Linked DNA regions of Sus scrofa. The protein of the gene in region 3 binds, or shares a complex with, the protein of the main gene of each other region. Links are inferred from orthologs where the notes say so. Each region holds a gene or a part of one and is shown on either strand. Other genes may lie near its edges.

Region 1 (3,500 bases), on a different chromosome or scaffold from region 3:
CAGAACACTCCCCCTCTATTCCAGAGGGCACCTCGGGCAACATCTCTGTCTCTCATGCTGGGAAAGATGGCAGAGACCACATGTCAACCATTTCCACAACACACGTGTTCCTCACGCCTACATGTCCACTGGGGGCCAACAGACCCTTGCTGGCTGTCCGCATGCTCAGTGAGAGCTCCAGGAGTGCACCTCCCTCTCTCACCCGGTCTGTTCGGCTTACCCTCCGCCCCTGCATTTCTACATTATTATCTGTGTCAGTCACTGGTCACCTAACACAGGCTGTCCATTCAACCAGGCTGCAAGCTGTTTTCAGAGGCAAAGAGCATGTCTTGTTCTTCATTATGTTTTTCACAGTGCCTTGCACAGGTATTTCACTGAATGGTTTCACAAGCCACAGAGGCAGGACTCTGATGTGTCTGGAACAGAACACTAAGGGCAAACGTACCTTTTTATGAGGAATGAGTTCCAAAGAGGCTTGGTAAACCTGTCTTGTCCTCTCGGGATCCTGTATCAGGATGAGAAATTTTTACAAAAAGTTCACATCTATTACTAATACTAATTTTACTATTACTGATAAAAATGGTACACCCCAACACTGAATATGCTAAGGTACTTTCAAAACCTTATTCCATTTATGATCAAAAGTGAATTAGGTGTTTCTGTTGTGGTTCAGTGGAAACGAACCTGACTAGCATCCATGAGGACATGGGTTCGATCCCTGGCTTCGATCAGTGGATGATCCCGCGTTGATGTAAGTGGTGGTGTAGGTCGCAGATGTGGCTCGGATCCTGAGTTGCTGTGGCTGTGGTGTAGGCTGGTGGCTACAGCTCTGATTTGACCCCCAGCCTGGGAACCTTCATATGCCGTGGGTGTGGCCCTAAAAAGCACACACACACACACAAAGTAAATTACATTTGGCCACCAAACTTTGATTAAAGAATTACCCATAACATAGTCTTCAAACTCTGAAAGCTTCTCTGTGGAAAGGCTTTTTTGCCTGACAGCAGAAACAAAGATGTGCTATAGCCTCAGATCAAAAACAGAAAATTAATCTTTTCCCATTAACCTATACAAAACAACTTCTGAAAATTCCACTTTTCTTTTTTTTTTCTGGCTGTGCCTGTGGCATGTGAAAGTTCCTGGATCAGAGATCAAACCTGTGCCACAGCCGTGACCCAAGCTGCTTCAGTGACAACACCGAGTTCCTAAGCCACTGTGCCACAAGAGCACTCCCTTGATCTTTACTAAAAGCAAGAACATGCAATCCAGCTGTGATACTATTTATCAGAAAATCCAGGAAACTATATGTAATTAAACTAAGGGGTGGCCCATTGTTCCCTTTCAAGTTCTAAGTAATACTCTTGTTATGCCTCAAGGTTAAGAAAAATACAATGCCAACTTAAAACTCTATACACCTGTGCCCACAATAGGTGTACAGAGTTTAAAACCTGGCAGAGAGAATGATTCATTATTTGGCTGAATGGAGGCTTATGAGAATCTAAAGCAAAACTCCTATTGCAAGGATTCTAAGAGTCTGCTCCCACCACACCTGCTGAGCCGAAGCGCAGGGGGGAGGAGCCTGTCGGCGCAGGGGGAGGAGCCCGTCAGCGCCTGCCCAGGGCCCCGCCGCTTCGCACCTTTGCCTCCAGCTCCTCATACAGGGCGTAGTTGACCCAAAGATAGATGTAGCGCTTCCAGTGCCTCTTCTCCTGGATGGGCGGGACGTTGGCGATGGCACGCTCATACACTTCTCGCACAGTCTCTGCTTCGGCGTCACTCTCCACCAAGCGCAAGTAATCAAACCAAGCGTCGTAGTTGTGCGGGTTAGCCTAGAAAGTTAAGGCCGGTAAATAAAACCGAAGAGCTGTGCCTGCTGGACTATGTGAGATGAAAGGTGGCACCAGACTGACTTCCTATATCTTAGCCACTTTTTTCTAGACTTCACATGCTATTTCATTAAGAAATATCATTCTTCTGTGGCTCTGGTGTAGGCTGGTGGCTACAGCTCTGATTCGACCCCTAGCCTGGGAACCTCCATATGCCACGGGGGCGGCCCTAAAAAGGACAAAAGACCAAAAGAAAAAAAAAAAAATCTATATCTACATATATCATTATTGAGGGGGCAGATCAAGATAGATAGAGGAACAGAAGGACGTGGAGCTCCCCTCCTCCTGCAAATATACCCACATGTGGGACAATTCTCACAGTATACTAACTGGACACGGGCAGATCTCAGATACCCCGGAATGCCAGAAAGATCTCCACGTAATCAGATAGGATGAAAAGGAAAAAAAGAAAAAAGAAGAAGGAAGCCGGACAGGACCTGTGCCCCTGAGAGTGAGCTGTGAAAGAGGAAATGGCCCACATCCTGGGAAGACCCCTCACCCGAGGGGAGATCAGCTGGGACAGAAAGGGAGCTTCAGAGGCTTGGAGGAGAGCGTAGCAGCCAGCTGGTGGGAGGCAGAACAGAGAGACCAGCCCAGAGGATCCCTGCTACCTCGCTGCTGTCTCTACCCCAAGACACGCGCCTCCTATGTGTAGGGGCCAGGTGATGAAAATCGGGCTTCAAAGGACAGATCCAGGGAGAGGACTGAAGCTGGCTGCGTGGAGACAGCCTGAAGAGGCTGGAGTGGGGTATGGACCACAACCCAGGATGTACAGGGAAGCCCAGGCCCCCACAGAAGCTAAGCGCCATTGTTAAGGGGCCCCATGAAGGGAGAGGTAGGCTCACCATAGCTGCCCCTTCCTCAGCATGCACTCAGCCACAGCGGCACCTCTACAAGCTTTGGGAGCACGCAAGTGCCAGTGATTGCCCACACCCAGAAGTGGAGCTGATCCCAGGGGCTGTGCACTAAGAAAGCAGGGCTAAAACCTAAGCCCTCTCCCCGAGGCTGTGCAATCCACGGATTTGTGCCACAGCTGCCAGCTCTGTAAACTCAGCGCCCGTGGGACATCTGAGTGGACAGTCATGCTCCATGGCTAGAGCGGGGCCAGCCTTGGCAGCTGTGTGTGCGTGCATGTGGAGTTGGGCTGGGGTCTGGGCTGCTTGCACGGCTCCCACGGAAGGTCCAAGGGCATGACTACTGTAGTCCCAGTACCTGATTTCAGTGGATCGGCACCTATGGATCTGCACTGGTGGGTTTGTGAACACAACACCTGAAGGGACCCCAGGGCCAATCACCTGTATGCCCACAACTGAGGTGGGTCGAGGGTAGCGCCAAAAGGAGTGTACTTTGTCAGCTTGCACAATGGGTGACAGGCGACACCACACACTCCCCAGTGGACGGCTCCAGCGGAGGGATACTCAGTGGCTCCTCTCCTAGTGGGAGTGCTACAGTCCCACCTACCTCACACCACAGCTCAGAAATGGAGCTGGGGGCTTCTACTTCAACACTTAGGAAGCAGACCCTGCCCTCAACAGGCCTGTGACAACCACAGAGCAAAAAAAGGAGGCCTCCCACTCAATATCCAGCACAGGCTGTGGTCACCACAGCACCAGC
Region 2 (3,490 bases), on a different chromosome or scaffold from region 3:
AACTGCCTGGCATTTCCCCTTTCCTGGCCATTTCATCATAAACTGGGGTCACAAATTCAAGGGCCCTATTTATGAATCCAAATTTAGGATACATGCTCTGGCAAGTACCCAAAGTACTAAGCATATTCCCAGGGACAATGGATTGGGCTCAAAAATCCAGGACATTTAGCTGTTAAAACTACAGCTCTTGGGAGTTCCCGTCATGGCTCAGCAGAAATGAACCTGACTAGTATCCATGAGGATGGGGGTTGGATCCCTAGCCTCACTCAGTGGGTTAAGGATCCAGTGTTGCTGTGAGCTGCAATGTAGGTCGCAGAAAGGGTTCGGATCCCACATGGCAGCTACACCTCCGATTTGATCCCTAGCCTGGGAACTTCCATATGCCATGGGTGTGGCCCTAAAAAGCAAAACAAACAAACTACAGCTCTCTCAGTGATTCTAATACTCAAGGGATCAAAAGAATATAGCCTCAGAGATTTTACATATAAATAGCAAAAGCATAACTGAATTTCATTGTATTTTTAAAACACAGTTCACTTCCAATTCTATCATGCAGCTGAACAGTCCGTGGCTTCAGTGATGCCTGCGGTCACGGTCACTGGGATTAGAGGACTCCCGCTCCCGGGAGTGCCGGGCCCTTTTATGCCTGTGGGACTTATCTCGGCTCCCACTTCGACTTCTGTGACTATGCCCCTCAGAACGCCCATTGTGCCGGCTGTAATGTGCATCTGAGCCTCGACCTCTGTCTCTATCCCTGTTCTTTTCTTCTCTCTCTTCCCTCTTGCTTGACGACTTGTGTTCGTGCTTGAGCTTCTCCTTCCTTGGCTCCCAATCCCGGTCCTCTGCTCCATCGTGGCAGATCGTTTTGACCTCAGGGGAGCTGGGGTGCGGCTTCCGGACCTCCCTGGACTCTGACTTCTGACCCCTCTCTGAGTTCTTGCCGCTGTGCTTTTTAGAGCCAGGGTCATCCTTTTCCTTCGTCATCTTGCTTCTGGGTGAGGAAGAGGAGGCTGGCTGCTCTGCTAGGACCTCCTGGTCAGTCTTCTCTTTGTCTTTCTTTCTTTTCTTTTTTTCCTTTTTGTCTGGAGGAAAAGAGGGGCACAATTAATAAGAAAGAAAAGGAAGATGGAGGAAAACATCTCTACCTCCAGAACAGTGCCTCCAAGAAGCCAAGCTGGATGTCTGTCACCTTTGATGTGTCAAGCTGCTTTATAAGGCAACTCCCACCCTTAATTATCTCTTTAAAGACCCTACTTCCAAATACAATCACATTTTGAGGTAACTGAGGGGGCGGTGGTTAGGACGTCAACATAAGAATTTTGGAGGACAGAATTCAGCCCATACCATTAGCCTTTCACTAATACTGCTCCTTTCCCAATTAAGGCTCCCCACACCTTCCCCCTTCACAGAGCTGATTATCAACGCTCACTGAATGCTAGGAAGAGCAAACACCTAGCCTCCCCAGAATCTTCTCACGAAAGGGTTTTAACGCTTTACCTTTTTTGTGCTTTTTGGTGGGTTTGTCATCTTCAGAGCTCTCTGATGAACTCTGTGAGGGGGTGTGAGCCCCACAGCCCCTCTCCTGGAGCTCTTTGGTCACATCATCTGTTTCTTCTGAGTCCTTAGGCGCCCGATAGTTAGACACATGATCCACTCGGATAGTTCTTCCTTTGATCTAAGACATATGGGCAATGCTTCAGCAAAGACAGCCCTCCTATCTGTTTGAACCAGCTAGAGAAAGCCTTGGTTTTAACCATATCCATTACCCTCACACTAATTCTACTTCTCAGGAAATCTTGAAAGCAGATCTGCCCAACTAGTGTGTCACTGCACATATACCTACACATTAATTCACTCAGCCCTCAAGACAGGAAGCAGGGGCCAGGGGCAGCTGCAGCCCCCAGGGCCACTGCACTAGGCAGCCTCATCAGTTTACCCCAGTGTGTCATTTAAATATCTTCATGTTCTACATGTGCCAGGAAGTGAAAAAAGGCTGGGAAGTACTGCCGCAAAGCACAAGCAGCACAGAAAACTGTAAGAGCTTAGACTCGCCATGAATTATCCTCAATCTGTAACATTCATTTACAGTGAAACATACCGTGAAAAGGCCTGGCTGCTAGCAGGAATTCCTGAAATCCAACTCAATGCTACAGCTGCTTTCTCGACACAGCAATTAGGATGAGGCCAAGGCAGGCCAATAGTTGGAGGGGGGTAGGAATTAGCAAGGACTACTTTCTTTTTTCTTAAGCTCTATCCCCTCCATACTGGAATTGGCTCACACTGATACTTCTACTGTAAATCACAACACTTCAGGTGAACAATAACAAATTAACCCCTTACTTTAAAACATTCAGGCAGATACAGACTTATTCTATAGGTAAGGCTATCTGAAATTTGAAATACCTAGCTTTTACTTTTCTATTCAGGACAGGTTTCTATTCTTACCTTTAAGCCTGAGCACTTTCTATCATTTATCCTATCCGACATTGCAAAACATTTTTTCAAAGCCTTCCTTTTATGGTAACTCCCTTCAAAAAAATCAAGCCTAGAACCTTGTTCCATCCTGTCCTATAATCTCCAGCTGTCCCATACGGGTGCAATCAGTGACAAACTCTCCAAGTCAAGAGTCACCCCTCCAACCTGTGACAATGCTCATTCCACAGCAGTGCTTTTCCTAGACGAGTAAAGGGACTGTGTGTAGCATAGATAAGCCTGACTTGCCCCATCCCCTTCTCTCAGCCCAATGTCTCACTTACAAGGATGGAGAGAGAGGGAACAGAGGAGAGAATACTTCAGAATGACTTACTTTCATAGAATTTGTCATCAAATTTTAACTAGAGAATTTCTAGGGCCCCGTGCCACTAAGTCAGTGGAGACCTGACAAACATAGACAGCCATGTCCTCGGTCATGTAACCACGATGGAGCCCCAAACTCCCTGACACAGGACAGCAAGGAAGATCAGTGTTTGCTAGTTTCTTTGTTCTCCAATATACCAGAGATGAGAGTGGAGTGTGAGGAGGGTGAGAAATAGAGGCTTGGTTGGGTGTGGGGTGGGAATGGGGGCATGGTACCTATGCTCCTGAGGAGATGGCTTGTTAATAGATGGGTCATGAGCCACTGGAATTATTTCCTGGGATCATTTCCTGGTCAACATGTCCCCACACTTTTGCAGGGTCATGAGCCACTGGAATTATTTCCTGGGATCATTTCCTGGTCAACATGTCCCCACACTTCTGTAACTCTCGCAACACACCCAGTTGACCAGTATTGGCCTTTGAGCCTGTGGTTATCAGGTGGGGAATGAAACTGAACCCCTTCACACAGGAGAAAGTTTAGCCAAATCCTGCTTGGTAAGCACACTCACCTTTATCCCATTAAAATTGTCAACAGCCAGAACTGTGCTCCTCTGGTCTTCATAGCAGAGGAAACAGAATCCTTTGGATTTCCCAGTCTTCTTGTCCCGCACCAGATTAATGTTAACAATCTCCC
Region 3 (4,184 bases):
CTGTTTGCAGCTCGTTCTTTTCCCACCCCAAAGATACTATTTATCCCAAATTTCTCCACACTGTCCTTTTATTCTCCCTTGGCCCAACTAACTCCTAACCCCTGGCAACTGAGGCCTCCAAACTGGGCACAACAAACACCAAAGAAAGATCTGTGGCACCCAAGGGCCTGCATTCCAAGTTTAAAGACTGTTCTAAGAATTGACCTAAAGATTTCATGCTACCCTGAAAGTACCCTGAAATTATGAATACAAATCGACTAAATAGCCCCTAAGTATTCAAACAAGTGGCCCAGACTAAAGGCCAGCACGAACATCCGAAACACATGAACCTTGATTTGTATATAACCCTCACACCTCACCTCCCAGACAAGGGGCCGCTTCCTATTAACTATCCCAACTGACGTGGATTCCTTCCCAACAGGCTTTCTCGTGTGGTGTGTGGCTCCCAAGTCTCACCAGTTCCTGATAAATATTAATTTTCAACTCAATTCTCTGAACACATCAAACTAGCCTGCCCTGTTTCAACTGTCCCCTTCTCTACATTCCTTCCCCTACCCTTACTCAGAAAACTCCCACTCTTCGTACCTCACATTCGTTACATCAGCTTTCCCTAAGAGTCCCAGGACCTCACTTCCTGGCTTCCTCCTCCAGCCCTCCTCGCCCTCTCACTCATCATCCTGCACCTGCCACCAGAACTTCTACCCTCTCAACCTGTCCCAACCCGGGTGTGGCTCTGAAGAGCCCTCAAACCCTAGTTTTTCTGATTAAATTTCTTGGCTAAATATACTCTATTCCTTTCTCCTGCTATATATTTTTTTTCTCCAACTCATCCTGTCAAAGGTAGTTTTCACAGGGGAAATGTGTGAGGGAAACAACCCCAGGAACGAACCCAAGGAACAAAGGGAGAAAGTAGTGAAAGCAGAGGGGAAAAAAAATATATATAACTGGATAAAAGGGAAGGCTTCATTTTAGAAACCCCCAGAAGGAACATCTGGATGAAGGTACTAAAAGCCCTCCCCACACCTAAGTGGAGAGAGATGTTGACTGAAATGGCAATGGCCCAACTCTAACAATTTGGAGCCCCTTAACCCTCAACTCTAAGGTTGGGACTCTGTTCAATCCCAATTGCAGACTCTGGAGGGAAAAAAAAAAAAAAATCCCTACTGGGGTAAAGGAGTGACACATAAAGCTAAATCTACGAAAAGTCAGTGGAACTATATGAAAATAAATGAAAACCTTTATAGCATATGAAATCCTTCAACCTCCATTTTTATCTTTTTTTTTGTTATTTTTCTCCGCCCCACTCTAAACCTAAGTCCTCTTTGGCTTTCTATACCCTACTTGGTTTCTGCTTCCCTTGCAGAACGCTTCTGATCTGCAATTAATTCTTCAACTCAACCATTCACCCACACTTCCATACCTCCTCACACAATAATCCTCCCACTCCCTGGAGAAGGAAAACCAGTAGATGATAAGCGTGCACTTTAAAATCTATTAAGTCACAACAGATGGGAACGCTTATAGGGAATGAGCCAATAACGAAGCCACAAACACACCATTCAAGACGGCGCTCAAAACATTTTAAGAACGAATAGACAAAAAAGTGTATCAACAACACACACAGATCATCAAAACCACATAAGGATTCTTAAACTGGGGTTCGCAGTCTGTGCATATGCAAAAAATCATCACCCAAGCATGCGGCAAAAAAGCAAAAGCAAGCTGCAAAGAAAGACGAAAGGGAGGTTTTTTTACTGTTGGAAAATCATCACAGTACCAAACTAACTAAGCAGAAAGGAGTTTCAAAATCCAATAATACGGTATTTAAGAAGAGAAATGCACCAAAAGGGGTGGGGAGTGTGCAGAAAAATGGACCTGAGTAACAGCGCAATAAGCTCAGTACAGGAGCAGTGTGGTAGCTGAGTGGACACTAGGCAGCCCAGAAAACGAAAATACTCGCTCAGGAAGAAATCCAAACTCACACACTCAGGAGAAGAAAAAAAACACAAAACACTTTCTCAATTTTTCGACCCAAAATATATCTTAAAGAGGCGTCTGAGAGGAAACCAAAAACTAGAAGACTTGGGCGCCAAATGAAGACAAAGTCCAGCGTTTCCTGAGGCTGGCAGCCTCTTCCCTAACTTTAACATAACTTTTTGGTAAATAACAAAACACGGGGAAAGAGGAAAGAAAGAGAAGGAGCGAAAGAAACAAAAGAAAAACTGAGAAAGCAGTACATGGCCTGCCTCTACGTACCTAGACTGAAGGACTTTTTTCCTAAACGTTTCCCTTTTTTAACGCTTCAAGACAGAGAGTAACGCATCCGAACTGTCTTAAATCTCTTGGGCGTTTAAGTTCAAGGCCTTCTCTGCACTGGCTGAGCCACCAGGGCCTATTTTCGGCCTTGAGGGAGAGGGAGGGGGCTGAGCGGCGCCCCGTAGTCTGGGAGGCTCAAGGCCGGACCACAAGCCTCCGGGAGGGACGGGTTGACCAAACCGAGAGGCTCAGGGGTGAGGAGCCGGGAGCGCCCCCCCCCGGCGCGCCGCCGCCGCCCCCTCCCCGCCGAGAAAATGTCGGCAAGGACAGCTGCAGGAGGGCCTCCCGGCCGCACGCGCTGGGGAGCCGGGAAGCCGAGTCGCGCGCTCCCCCCTCCTCGCCGAGAACGCGCGCGAGGCCGAGGGCAGTCGGCGGCGCGCGCCGTTACCATGGGGGAGGGGAGGAGGAATAAAGACCCGCGCGCGGTAAGAACCCCGAGGAGGGGGAAGGGAAGGCAGGCAAGCGAGAACGTCCGCACGAGCTAGGGGTGGCCAGCGCGCGTGCGCGCGGCGGCCTGAGCCGTTCTCCGCGCGCTTTGGCCTAGCGCCGGGGCCGCCGCCCCTCCCCCACCCGGCTCGCGCGCTCCCTCACCCGCCGCCGCCGCCTCCGCCCGCCGCTTCCGAGGGGGAGAGCTGTTGCCGCCGCCGCCGCTCGAGGTCCTGAGTCCCTCGGCGCCTGGAGTCGCCGCCTTGCCTCCCCGGTCCGCCCGTCTCAGCCGACACAGACGCCTCCTCGCTTCCTCAGGGGCCGCAGCGGGCTCCGACTGCGCCACTCGCACCCCGCCTGGGCCGCGCTGCACGTCAGCACGACGGACTAAGAACGTCAGCACGCTACCGCGCGCGTCGCAGGGCACGCCGGGAGCCGTAGTACTCTCCACGGCCTTGTGCGCAGGCGCCGAGACTGCACCGGGAAGTGTAGTTAATTAAGGCCCGAGGGAAGGGCAACTCCGTTGTCGAAGAACTATGATTCCCGTCGGCCCGTTGCCGACGCGGTCGGAGGAGCGGACCGAGAATGCAAGCAACGCATTCTCGACAGTTTCCGCTGGGAGGCGGAAGACATAGGGCCTATCGCCACATAGCCAGCGCGAGGGCTCTCCTTGACCTCCCGACTTCGTCCCAGGGTATCCTGGGAGTTGTAGTTCTAGGAGGACGCGGAACCCTTAAGTAGCTTCGCCTTCCCCTCACGCGGCCATTTTGTCTCCCCATGTTGGGAGGCGATGGTCCCAAGCCCAGGGACCCTGCGGCTCCCAGGTGATTGCCGTCCCCTGTCCTTCCGCACCCGGGAGACCTCTACCACCCCGCCCAGACCCCGGCCAGCGGACATCCCGGGAACCCCAGAGCCCAGCGTCTGGCTCAGGGCTTGAGCCTTAGGCCCGGCCAGTAGGCGGTCTTGTTCGCAGCTTCTGCCCGCCGCAGACAGTGTTGAACCGGGCGGCTGCACCCCGGGGATGATTTTTTGTTACCATCCCCCGCCTGTAAGGGGGCGATGAGCTTTTTCTCTTAGGGAACCTGAGATGTATCATATACGTGTTAGGGCGAAAACGTTACCGACGCCCTGAAGTTTTCCACCCCTCTGCAGAGTGCCTGAGTCCAGTTTTTTCCAGTGGGAGAGCAGCCAGTCTCCCTCAGAACAGAGGTGGAAGAAGCGAGGCTTCCCAGGCAGGCCACAGTTTCAGCTGGAGTCCCCACCTCCTGCTCGAACTGCAGTTTGCGCTCGGCTGCCCTGGTTAGTCCAGGTTCTTACACCCTCATCAGTGTTGGGGACATGGCTTGGATGGTCAGTCGAAAAATGAGACATGAACACTGGGAGATCTCGACAAGGCTCTTTACTTCTGCAGAAGGGTGTGGGTGCTCAAAAAGCGCGTGCAA
Region 4 (4,132 bases), on a different chromosome or scaffold from region 3:
TTTGATCCCTGGCCTTGCTCAATGGGTTGGAGATCTGGCACTGTGAGCTGTGGTGTATATCGCAGACACAGCTGTGGTGTATATCGCAGATCCCGCCTTGCTGTGCCAGCAACTGTAGCTCCGATTCAACCCCTAGCCTAGGAACTTCTATGTGCCGCAGTGTGGCCCTAAAAAGCAAAAAAATAAATAAAAAGCAAAGTCCAGGTTTTGCCAAGTGTATATACATCTTATACTTAGGGAATAAGAATTTCTGCTTGTGGACAGCATGACTCTACTGATCCAGTGCCTACTCTTAGAGCCTTTCTTTCCCTCTCCCTAGTCTTAATAGGTTTCAAGTCATCCATACCTATCCAGACTCCCTTTAACCAATACTGGATCCAGCTGGTTGGCCTGAGGTACACAATCTGTGGTTATGAAATAGAGATTTTTCTCTATGTTAAATGGCTCTTGAGCGTTAGCTCATACTTATTTTAGCCTTTTTGGCACAATGTGTTCCTATAATGGGATTCATATTTAAGAAATTAATAAAATATTGAAATTGTAACATTCAATAATGGAGGAAATATTGAATATATAACAATCAATGAGAATGGTATTCATTCAACAAATAATTTTTAAACATCTGTGACTGGCCAGGAATTACTACAATAAATAAGCACTTCAGTGCCCAGGGAAAATGATAAATACTTACTGAGATTTTACCACATCCCAGGCAGTGACCAAAGTGCTTAAGTGCTTCTCTTGAATTAACACAACAACCCTCTGATGAAACTGAAGCCTAGAGAGATTTATAACTTGGCCATTCTCACATTAGCTTTTGGAGCTAAGATTCAAATCCAGATGTCACACTGCATGACCTACTGTACCAGGTGGAGTGAGAGATGCAAAACTCCTTAAAATACACAATGAGAAAATATCCCTAACCATGAGGAGCTGACAAATTGGTTAGGGTAGTGAGATTATATATAACGGCAACCTGAGAACAACACACGATGACATTAACCCAAGTGATTTATGGCAGAAAGACTACAAGGGCTATCTGTAGCACAGAAAAGAAAATATGAATTCTAACAGCCAAGAGAAGATGGGTCTTGGAGCCTATCAATAAGAATAGGAGTCAACATAAAAAGAGCCAAGGCCCCAAGTAGAAAGGAAGAAGAGGGTTAAATTGGGGATTTGGGATTAACAGCTACACACTACTATATGTAAAACAGATAAACAACAAGGACCTACTGGTTAGCACAGGGAACTCTATTCAATATCCTGCAATAACTTATAAAGGAAAATAATTTGAAAAGGAATGTGTGTGTGTATACACACACAAATAGGTATATGTGTGTGTGTGTGTATAACTGAAACACTTTGCTGTACACCTGAAAGGTTGTAAATCAACACTTTCATTTTTTAAAATGAGGGAAAAAAGAGATAGGGCATTTCGTACTTAATTGTTGGAGAAAATTTTATGTTATATAGAAGGAGATTCAATTACACAGGTCCATAAAATAAGAGATCCAATACCTAATGTTTACTGCCTTCTGAATAGAAGGCACTGTGCTAAGCCCTATACATGGATCCATGTCATCCTCACACAACCTCCGTAAGTAGGTCCTTTTACCATACTGGTGTCTAAAGAATAAGAAAACAGTCTTAATGGGGTCAAGTAACCTGTCCATGGTCATGATGTTAGTAAACAGTGAAACTTGAAAATTTACTCCCAAACCAATTTTTAATCTACCATACTACACACACAAAAAAATTGTTAAGCATGGGAATGACGTGATAGAAAGAGTTTGGTAGGGCTAACATTTAAAAAGACTAGAAGAATACAGGGTCATGTTAGTTACTGGGTAATTCAGAAATGAATGAGGGAGGCCAAATGTAGGCAACGGGAATGGAGAAAATGAGACACTGTTTAACTTGCATATTACCTTGCACTTTGTAAATTGAGAAATTTAATAAGATAAACTTCTGTAAAGTCTTCTGCTGGGTATTCATCTAGAGCATTATACTGTTCAATTGCACCATACAAAGCAAATCGCTCAACTAATTCCTTCATGGCTCCGACTGCAGGAACTCCTTGTATTAATAAGTACCGAGATTCCAAATTGATCGTGTAAACCTATAAGAAATCAGACACATTAAATGTATTTCACAAAGAAGCCTGGGACAAATCTAATCCTATATTTTTTTAAAGTTGAAAAAAACACCTTTCGACTGGTTTGCATAAAAACAGGAAATCTAAAAACTTGCCCCTCTCTCTACATAATGAATAGTTTACCCTTCTTGCAAAGGCCTTTAGCTAAAGCACGTAACATTATCTTCCATCAATGTGTTTTCCACAAATTAGCTCGGTAGAAGTTACAGGGACGAGTTAACAAGTATTCGCTGAGCGTTTACCATGTAACAAGGACCACTGTAAACACGGAAGATACAGTGACTGAAACACAGCCCTCTTCTCACGGAGCTGAGGTTCTAGCAGTAGACTAAAGAGCACTCAAGCATCTTTGGTACTTGAGTACCAGCGTTTTTCATATTCTTCTTCAGTTAATCGATGTGACCGCAGCCTCTCAAGATGTTATTTACGTAAGCTGGGCATGTGAAGCTGGAACTCACAGAAAGCTACCGGGGATAGCGATTGAAACCAAAGTCACTTTACCCTGACAGCGCGAGGGCGGCGCCCCTCTCGATACTTGGCCCGCGAGTCGCATACAGCCCTTTGGACGTGGTGATCGAATAAGCCTCCTAGCTGCCCGCCGCTCAACGCCATCTTGCCGGTGTTATCCCTCGCGAACGACAACATCCGCCCCGTTGCCCCACCGTTTACCCAATAAGAGAGAGGGGTGAGTTAAGGCGTTCCGAGATTGGCTGAAGAATCGACACCGTCGGCCATCGTTTCCTGTGAGCGAGGATTTGGTGAAGAACGTGTCGCCCCCCAGCGGCGCGGCGGAAAGGCCCTGAGAACAGGCGCAGGCGTGCTGGCCCCTCCCGCTCCGGATGCGCCGCGGGGCCTTAGGGGGCGGGGCCGATCGATCGTCTCCGGGTCCGACGCCCGCGACCTGCGGGGTTGGCCCGGGAAAGATAGGTTGGGCGGCTGGGGGTCGGTGCCTGCAGACAATGTGGGGCGGCGATCGCCTGGCGGGTGCTGGCGGAGGCGGGGCGGCCGTGACGGTGGCCTTCACCAACGCTCGCGACTGCTTCCTCCACTTGCCGCGGCGCCTTGTGGCCCAGCTACACCTGCTGCAGGTAAGGCGCCCGCTTGGTGCCGGGCTCTCACCACCGACTTGGGACAGCTGCTGGCCAGTCTGCGGTCGGCCGAGACCCAGGCCTTTTAGGGACGCAGCGGCCGCTCAGGCCTCTCCCGGCGGCGGGATTAGGGCTGCTTTCCCAGCCCCGCCGACCGGTTCAGAGGCCACACTGAGGACCCCTTGCGGGCAGGGCTGGCCTGGGCGCTCTTGACAGCCACATCACGTCTAGTGCAGCACGGCTTCTTTGAGTTGACCTGCTGTATTCCAGGTCTTTTACTCGCCGGAACTGGGCTTTGAAACGCCCCGATATTCTCCCTCTTCGTTCAACTATTCCTCACTCCAGGTTGGAAAAGCTCTTGAGAAGTCGGGTTTGTTTGTCTTTTGGGATTCTGTTCTGTTTTGTTTCATTATTAGAAAACGTTTTTCCTGCCAGCGATTTCCAGGTGCTTGCATGGCTGTGGTCCCGGCCTTCAGAAAGAGGGGCGGACTTGGTTTGTGAAGTCTCTATTGGTTAACAGAGGTGGAGCCCTGTGTCCCACGAGCGGGATAGATTAATATGAACCTTCTTCCTGTGTCTCCAAACACCTCCGGGGTGCTCCAGGAATGTGCTGTGGGAGTATGCATACTTGGTCATAGGTAGTTAGAATTCCTTGAACCTCTGTTTTCACTTGCGCTCTGCACCTTGTGGTTGTGGCGGTTCATAGCTCTAACACTTGCATGGTTACAGAGATGCAACATCTGTATTTTCCTAATTGTAAAGTGGAGACACCTGGTTTACGAGTTTGAGCGTGCTTGCTTAAGGGGCTAAAAGGATAGGCTGTTTGAAATCTTCGAAAATCCTGAATGCATAGTACCCACTGGTTTGCAGTAATTTCAACAGTTTGCAA
Region 5 (4,160 bases), on a different chromosome or scaffold from region 3:
TGGGAAAATGGTTAAACCCATACCAGTGAATATCATTCGGCAATAAAAAGAATGAACTACAGAGATGCAATAATCTAAATGCATCTGCAAAGAATTTTGCAGAATGGAAAAAAGCCAATCCCATAAGACTGCATACTGTATGATTTCATTTACATAATATTTGTGAAATGACAAAATTACAAAATGGAAACGAGATGAGAAGCTGCCAGGAATTGAGGGCTAAGGGTGCGAAGGAAATGAATATGACTACAAAAGGACTATATGAGGGATCTTGTGGTGATGGAAAGGTTTTGCATGTTAACTGTATTGATGTCAATATTTTGGTTGTGAATAGATAATCAACAAGGACCTACTGTACACCAGAGGGAACTATCATTAAACTATACTTTAATTAAAAACAAAAACCACTTTTCCCTTAAAAATTTTTTCTGGTTGGAATAGAGTTCTATAATTATGTAAAATGCTTCCAATGGGAGAAACAACCACTTCTGTATTATTTTCTTACAACTGCAGGTGAATCAACAGTTATCTCAAAATAAAAGGTTTAGTTTAACGAAGTAAACAGGCAGACAAAAAAACCCCAAAAAGCCAGTTTCTAGAAAAGCCCACCGCAGGCAGAGGTGAACACACACACAACACTCCAGCTCTGATGGAGCCGGTATGAAAACATCTCAATCCGCTTACCTGCTTCACTTTGACTGTTGAGTGGTGAGGACTTCGGCTTCTCCTACTCCGGGGAGACTTGCTTCTTCTCCCCGAGGACTTATTTTTCTTTCTCGGTGGGGACCTGTTCAGAGAATGGTACACATAAATTTCATCTCAATTTTCATTCGCTCATACAAATTAGCTTCAAGTATCAGGCCTATCTACTAACACAAACATCACATTTGTGAAGGCTTCTGCTGATCACACTAAAGGAGTCAGGAGCTTCACTTTTTCAGCCCTGAATGTCTCCCACATATGTAGCTGCCAATTGAAACTTCTCACTTCGATAAGAGAAGGCTAAATTCCCACCTCTCAACTTTCCTATCTTTGCCATCAGGGTAACTGATACCACTATCCATCCGTTCCTCAGGCCAAAAACCTAGAAGTCATCCTAGATTCTTTTTTTTTCTCCCCCTTACCACCAAGAGGCCCCATGCTCCTCCCCAACACGCTCACAATCAATCAGCAAGTCCTCTGGCTCCAGGCTCTACCTCTTCTCTCTCCCACCGCATTCCTACCCACCTCACTATACCGGATCCCCTCCCCTCCTCCTTTTCTAGAAGGAACACAATTAATTCCACTTCAGGATCTTTGCACTGCTTGTTTTCTCTGATTAGATCTTTACAAGCCTGGATTATTTTTATCAATCAGGTTTCAGGTCAAGTGGCAGACTTTTCACAGAGAACCACTTCTCTCCACTCTCTATGACATTACTGTCTTAACCTATCCCTAGTACTTGTTACTAACAAATTATTTTCTTTATTTCCTTGTTATTCTGTCTCAGGGCTAGAGCATCTCAGTTTCACCAGGGTAGAGATCATCTATCATGCTCATTCTTTCCACCCCAATACCCAGGACGGCCTGCCTGCCTGCCTCATATTTTCTTTTCTTTTTCTTTCTTTCTTCCTTTTTTTTTTTTTTTTTTTTTTTGTCTTTTTAGGGCCACACCCTTAGCATATGGAAGTTCCCAGGCTAGGGGTCAAATCAGAGCCACAGCTGCTGGCCTACGCCACAGCCATAGCAACACAGGATCAGAGCCGCATCTTCGACCTACAATGCAGCTTATGGCAACGCTGGATCCTGAACCCACTGATCGAGGCCAGGGATGAATTCTACATCCTCATAGTCCTCAAGAATACTAGTCCAGTTCGTTACTGCTGAGGTACAATGGGAACTCCCATTATTTTCTTTATTTCAGTTTTATCTGTGTATAATTTTACAGTTTGATTCAAATTCCACATATACATTTATATTTTAAAAAATTGTACATAGCTATTTTCCACATTATTTTATAACCTATGAGGTCTTTAGCACATAATAAGTACTCGACAAAACTATGTCGAATGAATGAATAAATTGTTCGCAAAAGACAATTTCCCCCCAGAATATCAGACAGATCACCTAGGCTCAGGATATGAAAACTTCTTGGGGCAGATAACTGAAAAAATAACCCCATTTGGAGGCAGGTGGGAAAAATCTTTCATTTCAACATAAACTATCATTGTCATCAGCTGGACCATACTCGGAGAAATGCTGAGCACACAGAGATGAAGGAGCAAGAACTTGCCCATCAGGCATTAGGCGTTTAACGCCCAGGTATAACGCAAGTAACAGGTATCAGAGTAAACGTTAACACACTCACAACCGGTCACTTCTATCGCCTTAGGATTAATTCAAGCTGCCGCGCTCAGCATTCAAGGTGTGCTCCTGGTGCCAGCCCTGTCCCCCTTTCTCAAAAAGCCCGACCTCAGGTCTACCCCAGGCTGCTTCCCACTTACCGGCTACCTCCTCGAGCTCGGTTCCCGCGGTGACCGGGGCGGCCTGACTCGCCGGCCAGCGGGGAAGGGCTACCGCCGGAGGAGTCCGGACGGCGATGGACAGGAGGCGCGGATTCCGGGCTGAGGCGCTCCTGCTTCACCACCACCGTCGCCGCCGCCACCATGTCCCCGTCCCGGTGCCTTCGCCGACTTCCCCGCTCCCGCTCGCTCTTCACCTCCTTCATGCTGTGAAACGGCTGAGCCAAGGAAAAACAGGACCGTCGCGCTCCTCTCCGTGAAGGAAATGACGGACTTGAGTCCTGGACTTCCGCTTCCGGGTGCGCGCTCTCCCAGAAACCCTCGCGGCGGATAACGCGATCAGAATCCCGAGTGGGCGGGGCCTTAGGGACCCGACTCTGTGGGGCGGGAGTTTTAGGTTTCAAAAACAAATTGGGGGGAAAAAGCTCCTCTCAAGGTTGTTTGTTGACGCGTTATTACTAGTTACTAAACATGGGGACAAACTACACATCCAGCAGTAGAAAAGAGATTATGTCACCATTTGCAATGGTATTTACAAACTATACGACAAATGGAAAAAAGTCTGACTTGTTAAATGGAAGAAGCAAGATGCAAAATTGTGCGCAGACTGTGATGACATTTACGTTTGGAAATACGAAGGAAAGGGGAAGAGAAGGAAATGCAATCACAGATCGTAGCCCGGGCAAATCGTCGGCCGGGCAAATCGTCGCCATTTCTCCATTAAAGGCAAACTCTTTTTAAAACCTGGGAACTTTAAATGCCTTCCTCTGGGAATCTTCCTCAGCCTTCACTGAGGAGTCAAATGATTCCATTTGCGGGTGACAAAATCCAGGATCAGCGAAAGTGATCTGCGCCTTACTCAAACCGTGAGCTGGACGCAGCGAAGGGATCCAGAACTCAAGTTTCCCCTGCTTCCAAGAGTGCTAAGGCGATCCCGGTGAGCAGGAGGCTTGACAAGCTAAACGCAGGAGAACTTTCCTCGAAGGTTGAGCAGAAAGAAACTCTCGAGCTGCTGGCCCCGCCCCGCCTCGAAGCCCCGCCCAGGCCATGAGGATGTCAAGGACGTTTCCATGGCGACGGCAAACACTGCCCTGACAGGAGGGTCGCTGCTGTGCTGCTACCCTCGCCGCCGCCATGATCCCCCCCGCCGACTCTCTGCTCAAGTATGATACCCCGGTATTGGTGAGCCGCAACACGGAGAAACGGAGTCCCAAAGTAAGGAGGAGTCTCAGGATGGGGGAGCTCGGAAACTCCCACGGGGAATGACAGATCCCTGCCTTGAGGATTGGGAGTCCCAAGGGACAGAGGGTGCAGTGACTGGGAATAAAGGGAATTAGGACCAGGCAAGGAGGGTGGGAGAGCGGTACAAGAAGCCCAGATGTTGGGTGATCCTAAGGGCAGATTTAGGATGGGAAAAAAAGTCACAGAGAGATGGATGGGGCTCCCTGCCCTATCCAGGTAGTGTACAAGGATAGATCTGATAGTGACTGGCCCCATCTCTAAAGGTAAGAAAGTAAAGGCCTGAGCAACATCTGCACAAGGAGATAGAAGCATTGAGTTGGGGTGGGACCAGAGATTCTTCATGGCCTCCTTCAGCTCTGAAACATAACTTCTAATGAGGAAGAGTGATCTGAGAATGGGGGAGAGGTATGCGAGTGA
Region 6 (3,500 bases), about 55 Mb from region 3:
CTCTTTAGCGAGTGGTATTGGGAAGGTTGGACAGCTGCTTATAAATCATTGAAGTTAGAACACACACACTCACCATACACGACGACAAACTTGAAATGGCTTAAAGGCTTAAATATGAGACATGATCCCATAAAACTCCTAGAAGAGATCATAGGCAAAACATTCTCTGACATAAATCATACCAGTGTTTTCTGAGATGAGTCTCCCAAGGCATAGAAATAAAAACAAAAAAGAAACAAATGGGGCCTAATCAAACTTACAAGCTTTTGCACAGCAAAAAAAAAAAAAAAAAAAAAAAAAAAAAAAAACCATAAGCAAAATGAAAAAACAACCTGCAGAGTGGCAGAAAATATTTGCAAATGATGTGACTAACATGGGCTTAATTTCCAAAATATACAAACAGCTCATTCAACTCAACAATGATATAAGAAACTACCCAATCGGAAAATGGACAGAAGACTGCAGAGACATTTCTCCAAAGAAGAAATAAAAATGGCCAATAGGCACATTAAAAAATGCTCAACATCACTAAATATTAGAGAAATGCAAATCAAAATTATAAGGAGATACCACCACACATTAGTTAGAATGGCCATCATTAATAAGTCTACAAATAGCAAGTGCTGGAGAGGGTGTGGAGAAAAGGGAACCTTCCTACACTGTTGGTGAAGATGTAAATTGGTACAACCCAACCACTGTGGAAAACAGTATGGAGTTTCCTCAGAAAACTAAGGATAGAGTGGGATCTAGCAATCCCACTCCTGGGCATGTAGCCATACAACTGTAATTCAAAAAGATACAAGCATCTCAATGTTCATAGCAGCACTATTTACAATAGCCAAGACATGGAAGCAGTCTAAATGTCCATTGATAGGTGAGTGTATACAGCCATAAATTCAATGGAATACTACTCAGCCATAAAAAAAAATGAAATGCCCTTTGCAGCAACATGGATCAACTAGAGATAATCATACTCAGTGAAGTTAAGTCAGAAAGAGAAGGACAAATACCATATGATAGCGCTTGTATGTGGAATCTAAAATATAACACAAACAGGAGTTCCCTGGTGACCTAGTGGTTAGGATTCGACACTTTAATTGCTGCGGCCCAAGTCACTCCCTGGTCTGTGAACTGAGATCCTCACATCAGGCTGCTGCATGCTGCTGCCAAATAAATAAATTAATAAATTATATATGACGCAAATGAACCTGTCTACAAAACAGAAATAGACTCAGGACAAGGAGAACAGACTTGTGGTTGCCAAGGAAGAGGGGGTTAGGAAAGGGAGTGGGAGGTTAGGGTTAGCAGTTGTAAGCTATTTTACTTGGAGGAGATAAATAACAAGATCCTACTGTATAGAACAGAGGACTATATTCGATAGCCTATGGTAAACCATAATGGAAAAGAATATTAAAAAGAGGAGTTTGTGTGTGTGTGTGTGTGTGTGTGAGTATCTGTATGTATATATACACACACATATATATAGCTGAATCACTTTATGTACAGCAGAAATTAAGACATTGTAAATCAACTTTATTTCGTAAATAAGAGAGTGGCCAGCTAGAAGAGTGCTATAACTATCAACAATAGAGTTCGATAGAAGAACAGAGAGCATGGATTAATCATATGTGTTGCTTAAGTGAAATTTAAGTGTCTTTATTATACATTTTTCTTTCTTAAAAAATAACCTTTAGATTTGACCCATATGGAAAGAATAAGTTCTCCACTTGCAGAATTTGTAAAAGTTCTGTGCACCAGCCGGGTTCTCATTACTGCCAGGGCTGTGCTTACAAAAAGGGTGAGTCTTTTAATACCATTTTTGTATTCATATCAAACCTACTTCTTTTGATATTGATTTTGATAACATAGTAAAGGAGTAGCCCATCATAAATCCTGTTAGTCAAATGCTCTTTTTTCTAAGACAAAATTGAAACTTAGAACTTGTAGTTAAAAGTATATATTTTATTTTTCCCTTTTCTGATGTTGTTAAATTATATTTTAAGCTTCAGGAACAACTTAAATTGTTGGTATTAGCTACTTAAATTGTTGGTATTGGTGTCATTAGTTATCATTTGATTGCTTACATGTGTTGTTTGTTTGTTTTAGGCATCTGCGCTATGTGTGGAAAAAAGGTTTTGGATACCAAAAACTACAAACAAACGTCTGTCTAAATGTATTGAAGTATCTACTTTCCATATGATTTACTTTTTGCTTTGAATTTTCAAGGTATAACATAGATATTCAATTTACAAAATAACATGCCTTTAGATAATTACGTTTAAACCAGGGAAGTAGATGGGTATTCATTCTTTTGCTCTCAAGAAGTTCTGAATGGCAACAGTATAAAGTTTTCTGCCTAAAGGTTTTATTTTCCTTACAAATATCTTACTGAACTGGAATAAGTGATAAATTAACAAAAAAAATATTTTCCCAGTTCTGTATGCACTTTTTATTTATCATTACTCATATAATTTTTATTATCTTTTTTTCTACTTTATATGTAGATCTTGAAAAAGTGAGAAGGAGGTTATTAATATTGGCTTTGAACTTGGCATTTAGATTTGTAATTCTTCACTCATCCCCTTTTTATTCATATAGTTCTTAGGGTCAGCAGTCCCTTAATTAATTGTGGCTTCATAGAGCATTTAAATATCTGAGACCATTGTTGCTAAATAGTTCCTAAGTGATTAGCTCAGACCCAAATCAAACAAAAGTTGTATTTGTGGTATTTTTGATTTGTTCTTGAAGCCAAAGTGCCAGTACCTTTCACATGAGAACAGGAACACAAGGGATACCCTCTATGTGTCCACATCAACACACTGGATTTGAGAAAAACACGTATTACACATTACCTTGAATTCAGACCATCATGAAAGCCAAGAGAACAGTGTGCATCTATCATGATAGATCACAATCCTTTGGGAAAGTGCTTTGAAGTAGAAACTAAACTTTTTTTTTCTTACTTCCTCTCCTTTTCCACCCCCCCCCCCGCCAAATAAATAGACTAAGCAAACATTTTTATTTTTATTTATTTATTTATTTATTTTGTTTTTTGCTTTTTAGGGCCACACTCTGGCACATGGAGGTTCCCAGGCTAGGGGTCGAATCGGAGCTACAGCTGCTGGCCTGCACCAGAGCCACAGCAATGCGGGATCCGAGCTGTGTCTGTGACCTACACCACAGCTCACAGCAACACCCAGATCCTTAACCCACTGAGCGAGGCCAGGGATCAAACTCACAACCTCGTGGTTCCTAGTTGGATTCGTTTCCGCTATACCACAACGGGAACTTCTAAGCAAGTTAAATATATGTAACATAGATTGCTAAAAGACTACTTTGAGGTTTCAAGGATTTTTCCTATGTTGCCTTCAGAGGCACAGGACTTTTGCTTTTGAAACCTGTTAACTTACTGTGGGAGACAGAAAAAAGTATTCCCCATTGCCAAGTACAGTATAAATACATATCACTATCAAATGTGTAGAGGAGATAACATGATGCTA
Region 7 (3,500 bases), on a different chromosome or scaffold from region 3:
AGGCTAATGTTCAGCATTCATTTAGTCCTCCTGTGACAAACGATCACTAACCTAAATACAAGTACAAATGACATGGGAGAGAAAATCGAAATCAGAGACAACTTTTAAAACCAACAGGCAGGATGTGGGATTCTAGTCTCAAGTTATAATGACTGTGACTGGCATGTAATATCTCAACATACTCCTCTGTGCCATATTTATCCACACAGAGTGAGCAAAACAAACTGCACTCAGGTCTCAGCAGCATGGTAAAAGTTAAAATGGCCTAGAATATATTCTGATGTCCTCAGACTAAAGGATAACAATGTATCTGAATTTAAAAATTAAAACAGGGGAGTTCCCACTGTGGCTCAGTGGTAATGAACCCAACTAGTATCCATAAGGACATGGGTTTGATCCCTGGCCTCGCACAGTAGGTTAAGGATCCGACATTGCTGTAAGCTGTGGTATAGGTTGCAGATGTGACTTAGATCTGGTGTTGCTGTGGCTCTGGCATAGGCTGGTAGCTGCAGCTCCGATTCGACCCCTTGCCTGGGAACTTCCATATGCCACACATGTGACCCTAAAAAGCAAAAAAAATAAAATTAAAACAGTGCCTTGGGACAAAAGAGTAAACAAATCTCACTGCACAGGCCTGAGTTGTAGACATCACAAATCACCCCCAAAGAGTTCCTGCAGTGGTGCAGTAGGTTAAGAATCCCACTGCAACAGCTCAGGTTGCTGTGGAGGCACGAGTTCAATCCCTGGCCTGACACAGTGGGTTAAAGGATTCAGTGTTGCCATGCCACAGCTGCAGAGTAGTTCACAGCTGTGGCTTGGATTCAATCCCTGGCCTGGGAACTTCCACATGTCTTGGGTGCAGCCATTAAAAAAACAAAAGCAAGGAGTTCCCGTCATGGCGCAGGGGTTAATGAATCCAACTAGGAACCATGAGGTTGCGGGTTCGATCCCTGGCCTTGCTCAGTGGGTTAAGGATCCTGCGTTGCCGTGAGCTGTGGTGTGGGTCACAGACGCAGCTCGGATCCCGCATTGTTGTGGCTCTGGCATAGGCCAGTGGCTACAGCTCCGATTTGACCCCTAGCCTGGGAACCTCCATATGCTGCGGGAGTGGCTCAAGAAATGGCAAAAAGACAAAAAAAAAAAAAAAAAAAAAAAAGAAAGAAAAGAAAACAAAAGCAAAAAACTACAAATCACCTCCCCCAAAAAGCAATCTGCAACAGGTGTCAACAGTCCTAAAAGCATAGGACCCTGACCCTCTGACCCAGTAAATCAATTTCTACTTAATTTCTAAGGAAACATATTTGGAAGTACTTTGATTTCCAGGAGATCAATCTAGAAGTATTATTAAGGAAATAATCCAGAACAGGGCAATAGTTTATGCATAAGGATGTTGATTATAGAATTATAGAAGAAAAGGTGCAGAAACAACCTCAAATATGCAGTATTAAGGAAATGGTAAATTTATGTAACAGAATACCAACAAAAATTATATTAATGAGATATTTTATGACATGAGGAAGATAATGTTAAGGGAAAAAAAAAAAACAGACAAGATTACACATGCAATATGTATTTACTGCCTAGACAGACCTCGACCACATAAAAAATGAATAGAAAAAAAACAAAAAAAACTAAAAGAACACAGATTACAACACTAGCAGTGACTGCCTCTGAATGACAGAATTTTGTATGACCTTTTTCTACTTCTTTATACATTTCTATACATTCTGCAATGAATATGCAGTATTCTTATATGGGGTGGGGAGAATAAACAAAAGAATATATAAAACCCTCCTCTCTGCTACTATAAATTTTTAACTCTCCTCAGCCCAACCTCTCATGATTTCCCTCCAGTTTTGTTCGGTTTTTTTTGTTTGTTTGTTTTGTCTCTTGGCCTTTTCTAGGGCCACTTCCGCAGCACATGGAGGTTCCCAGACTAGGGGTCTAATTGGAGCTATAGCCGCTGGCCTATACTACAGCCACAGCAACTCGGGATCCGAGCCATGTCTGTGGCCTACACCACAGCTCACGGCAATGCTGGATCGTTAACCCACTGAGCAAGGGCGGGGATCGAACCCGCAACCTCATGGTTCCTAGTTGGATTCGTTAACCACTGTGCCACGACAGGAACTCCTCCCTCCAGTTTTTAAAACTTCTCCAATGCTCCATTCTCATTTCTAAAGATCACAAATACCTAAAAAGGAACTAAAAGGCCCAAAAGAAAGTGCCTAGGGAGTTAAGTCCTTCCTATGGACAGTCAAATGCTCACCTTTAGAGTCATGTTGCTTATTTCCAGAATGGGATTTTGCTTGCTTTTTTCGTGGAGGAGAGAGGTCTGAATCACACTCCTGCTTGCTGTTCTTTGGGAGTGATGGATGAGATGGTCCTGGCCCCTTCCAATGGGGAGAAGCTTGGCTAGACGCTCTTTCTGGGGCTGTACTGCTTTTGGTTCTGGGCAGTGAATGAGGGACACTAGAAGCCAAGTCAGGGGAATCATGACGGGCCCTCCTCAGCTGCGATGTGTCCATGGAATCAAGAGTCCTTCTAGGTTGAACTGTGTCAGGGGAGCGATTACGGGCCCTTCTGGGAGGAGAGATATCTGAGGAACTGCGGTGGGCTCTCCTAGGAGGTGATGGATCTGGTGTATCATGACGGGCTCTCCTAGGAGGTGATGGATCTGGTGTATCATGACGGGCTCTCCTAGGAGGTGATGGATCTGGTGTGTCATGACGGGCTCTCCTAGGAGGTGATGGATCTGGTGTATCATGACGGGCTCTCCTAGGAGGTGACGGATCTGGTGTGTCATGACGGGCTCTCCTAGGAGGTGATGGATCTGGTGTGTCATGGTGGACCTTCCTAGGAGGTGATGGATCTGGGGAATCATGACGAGCCCTTCTAGGAGGCGATGAATCTGGAGTGTCATGGCGGACCTTCCCCGGAGGTGATGAATCTGGGGTGTCATGACGAGCCCTCCTAGGAGGTGATGCATCTGGGGTGTCACGACGGAAATGTCTGTGTGAGGGCAGATCTTCATTGTGGCCTAAACACAAAGAGCAAAGAGTCAGAATCCCACAGATGCTCTGTTCACCCCCAGGAACCATAGTTTCAAAAGATGCCCCAGGAGGATACATCTGAAAACTACTCAGAAAGCCCAAAAGGTCTGTACAACTCTTACTTGGGGCAGTAAGACAGCACTCATGAATATCCTAAGAATAATCTCTCATATTTGCCTAACAAGTCATCAGTCTGTAAAGCATTTTAAATATTTTTCATGTTATATTTTGTTAGGTAAGCAAGGCAATTATCCTTGCTTAACAGACCTGAAAACAGAGACTCTAAGGGGCTAAGTGATTTCTTACCTGGGGTCACAGCTACGAAGAGAAAAGATAGGCTTGAACTCCAGTCCTCTAACTCTTAATCCAATGCTCTTCCACAAAACTGATTTGTACAGAGCTCCCCACTAGAGGCTCTTATTGATATTTAGCCTAGATAATTCATAG

Evidence for each region.
Region 1: SRRM2 (region 3) and CRNKL1 share a complex: the UniProt entries of both Homo sapiens proteins name them as parts of the minor spliceosome. The link is inferred for Sus scrofa from reciprocal best matches to the Homo sapiens genes SRRM2 and CRNKL1.
Region 2: SRRM2 (region 3) and RBMX2 share a complex: the UniProt entries of both Homo sapiens proteins name them as parts of the minor spliceosome. The link is inferred for Sus scrofa from reciprocal best matches to the Homo sapiens genes SRRM2 and RBMX2.
Region 4: SRRM2 (region 3) and RBM48 share a complex: the UniProt entries of both Homo sapiens proteins name them as parts of the minor spliceosome. The link is inferred for Sus scrofa from reciprocal best matches to the Homo sapiens genes SRRM2 and RBM48.
Region 5: SRRM2 (region 3) and SNIP1 share a complex: the UniProt entries of both Homo sapiens proteins name them as parts of the minor spliceosome. The link is inferred for Sus scrofa from reciprocal best matches to the Homo sapiens genes SRRM2 and SNIP1.
Region 6: SRRM2 (region 3) and CRIPT share a complex: the UniProt entries of both Homo sapiens proteins name them as parts of the minor spliceosome. The link is inferred for Sus scrofa from reciprocal best matches to the Homo sapiens genes SRRM2 and CRIPT.
Region 7: SRRM2 (region 3) and BUD13 share a complex: the UniProt entries of both Homo sapiens proteins name them as parts of the minor spliceosome. The link is inferred for Sus scrofa from reciprocal best matches to the Homo sapiens genes SRRM2 and BUD13.

What each region holds. Positions count from the first base shown.
Region 1 is NC_010459.5:28,091,372-28,094,871, forward strand, and holds part of CRNKL1 (crooked neck-like protein 1), read right to left. Parts: intron 1,830-3,500; coding exon 1,638-1,829; intron 506-1,637; coding exon 446-505; intron 1-445. UniProt on the Homo sapiens protein: Involved in pre-mRNA splicing process. As a component of the minor spliceosome, involved in the splicing of U12-type introns in pre-mRNAs.
Region 2 is NC_010461.5:106,887,402-106,890,891, reverse strand, and holds the end of RBMX2 (RNA binding motif protein, X-linked 2), read right to left. Parts: coding exon 3,366-3,490; intron 1,676-3,365; coding exon 1,498-1,675; intron 1,083-1,497; coding exon 574-1,082; 3' UTR 501-573; downstream 1-500. UniProt on the Homo sapiens protein: Involved in pre-mRNA splicing as component of the activated spliceosome. As a component of the minor spliceosome, involved in the splicing of U12-type introns in pre-mRNAs.
Region 3 is NC_010445.4:39,274,230-39,278,413, reverse strand, and holds the start of SRRM2 (serine/arginine repetitive matrix protein 2), read right to left. Parts: upstream 2,801-4,184; 5' UTR 2,257-2,800; intron 1-2,256. UniProt on the Homo sapiens protein: Required for pre-mRNA splicing as component of the spliceosome. As a component of the minor spliceosome, involved in the splicing of U12-type introns in pre-mRNAs.
Region 4 is NC_010451.4:72,443,479-72,447,610, reverse strand, and holds the start of RBM48 (RNA-binding protein 48), read right to left. Parts: upstream 2,801-4,132; coding exon 2,657-2,800; intron 2,120-2,656; coding exon 1,929-2,119; intron 1-1,928. Other genes in the region: PEX1 (peroxisome biogenesis factor 1), read left to right, coding at 2,995-3,243. UniProt on the Homo sapiens protein: As a component of the minor spliceosome, involved in the splicing of U12-type introns in pre-mRNAs.
Region 5 is NC_010448.4:93,609,370-93,613,529, forward strand, and holds the start of SNIP1 (smad nuclear-interacting protein 1), read right to left. Parts: upstream 2,801-4,160; 5' UTR 2,708-2,800; coding exon 2,484-2,707; intron 788-2,483; coding exon 685-787; intron 1-684. UniProt on the Homo sapiens protein: Required for pre-mRNA splicing as component of the spliceosome. As a component of the minor spliceosome, involved in the splicing of U12-type introns in pre-mRNAs. Down-regulates NF-kappa-B signaling by competing with RELA for CREBBP/EP300 binding.
Region 6 is NC_010445.4:93,915,917-93,919,416, reverse strand, and holds part of CRIPT (cysteine-rich PDZ-binding protein), read left to right. Parts: intron 1-1,694; coding exon 1,695-1,798; intron 1,799-2,106; coding exon 2,107-2,171; 3' UTR 2,172-3,500. UniProt on the Homo sapiens protein: As a component of the minor spliceosome, involved in the splicing of U12-type introns in pre-mRNAs. Involved in the cytoskeletal anchoring of DLG4 in excitatory synapses.
Region 7 is NC_010451.4:44,148,402-44,151,901, forward strand, and holds part of BUD13 (BUD13 homolog), read right to left. Parts: intron 3,041-3,500; coding exon 2,270-3,040; intron 1-2,269. UniProt on the Homo sapiens protein: Involved in pre-mRNA splicing as component of the activated spliceosome. As a component of the minor spliceosome, involved in the splicing of U12-type introns in pre-mRNAs.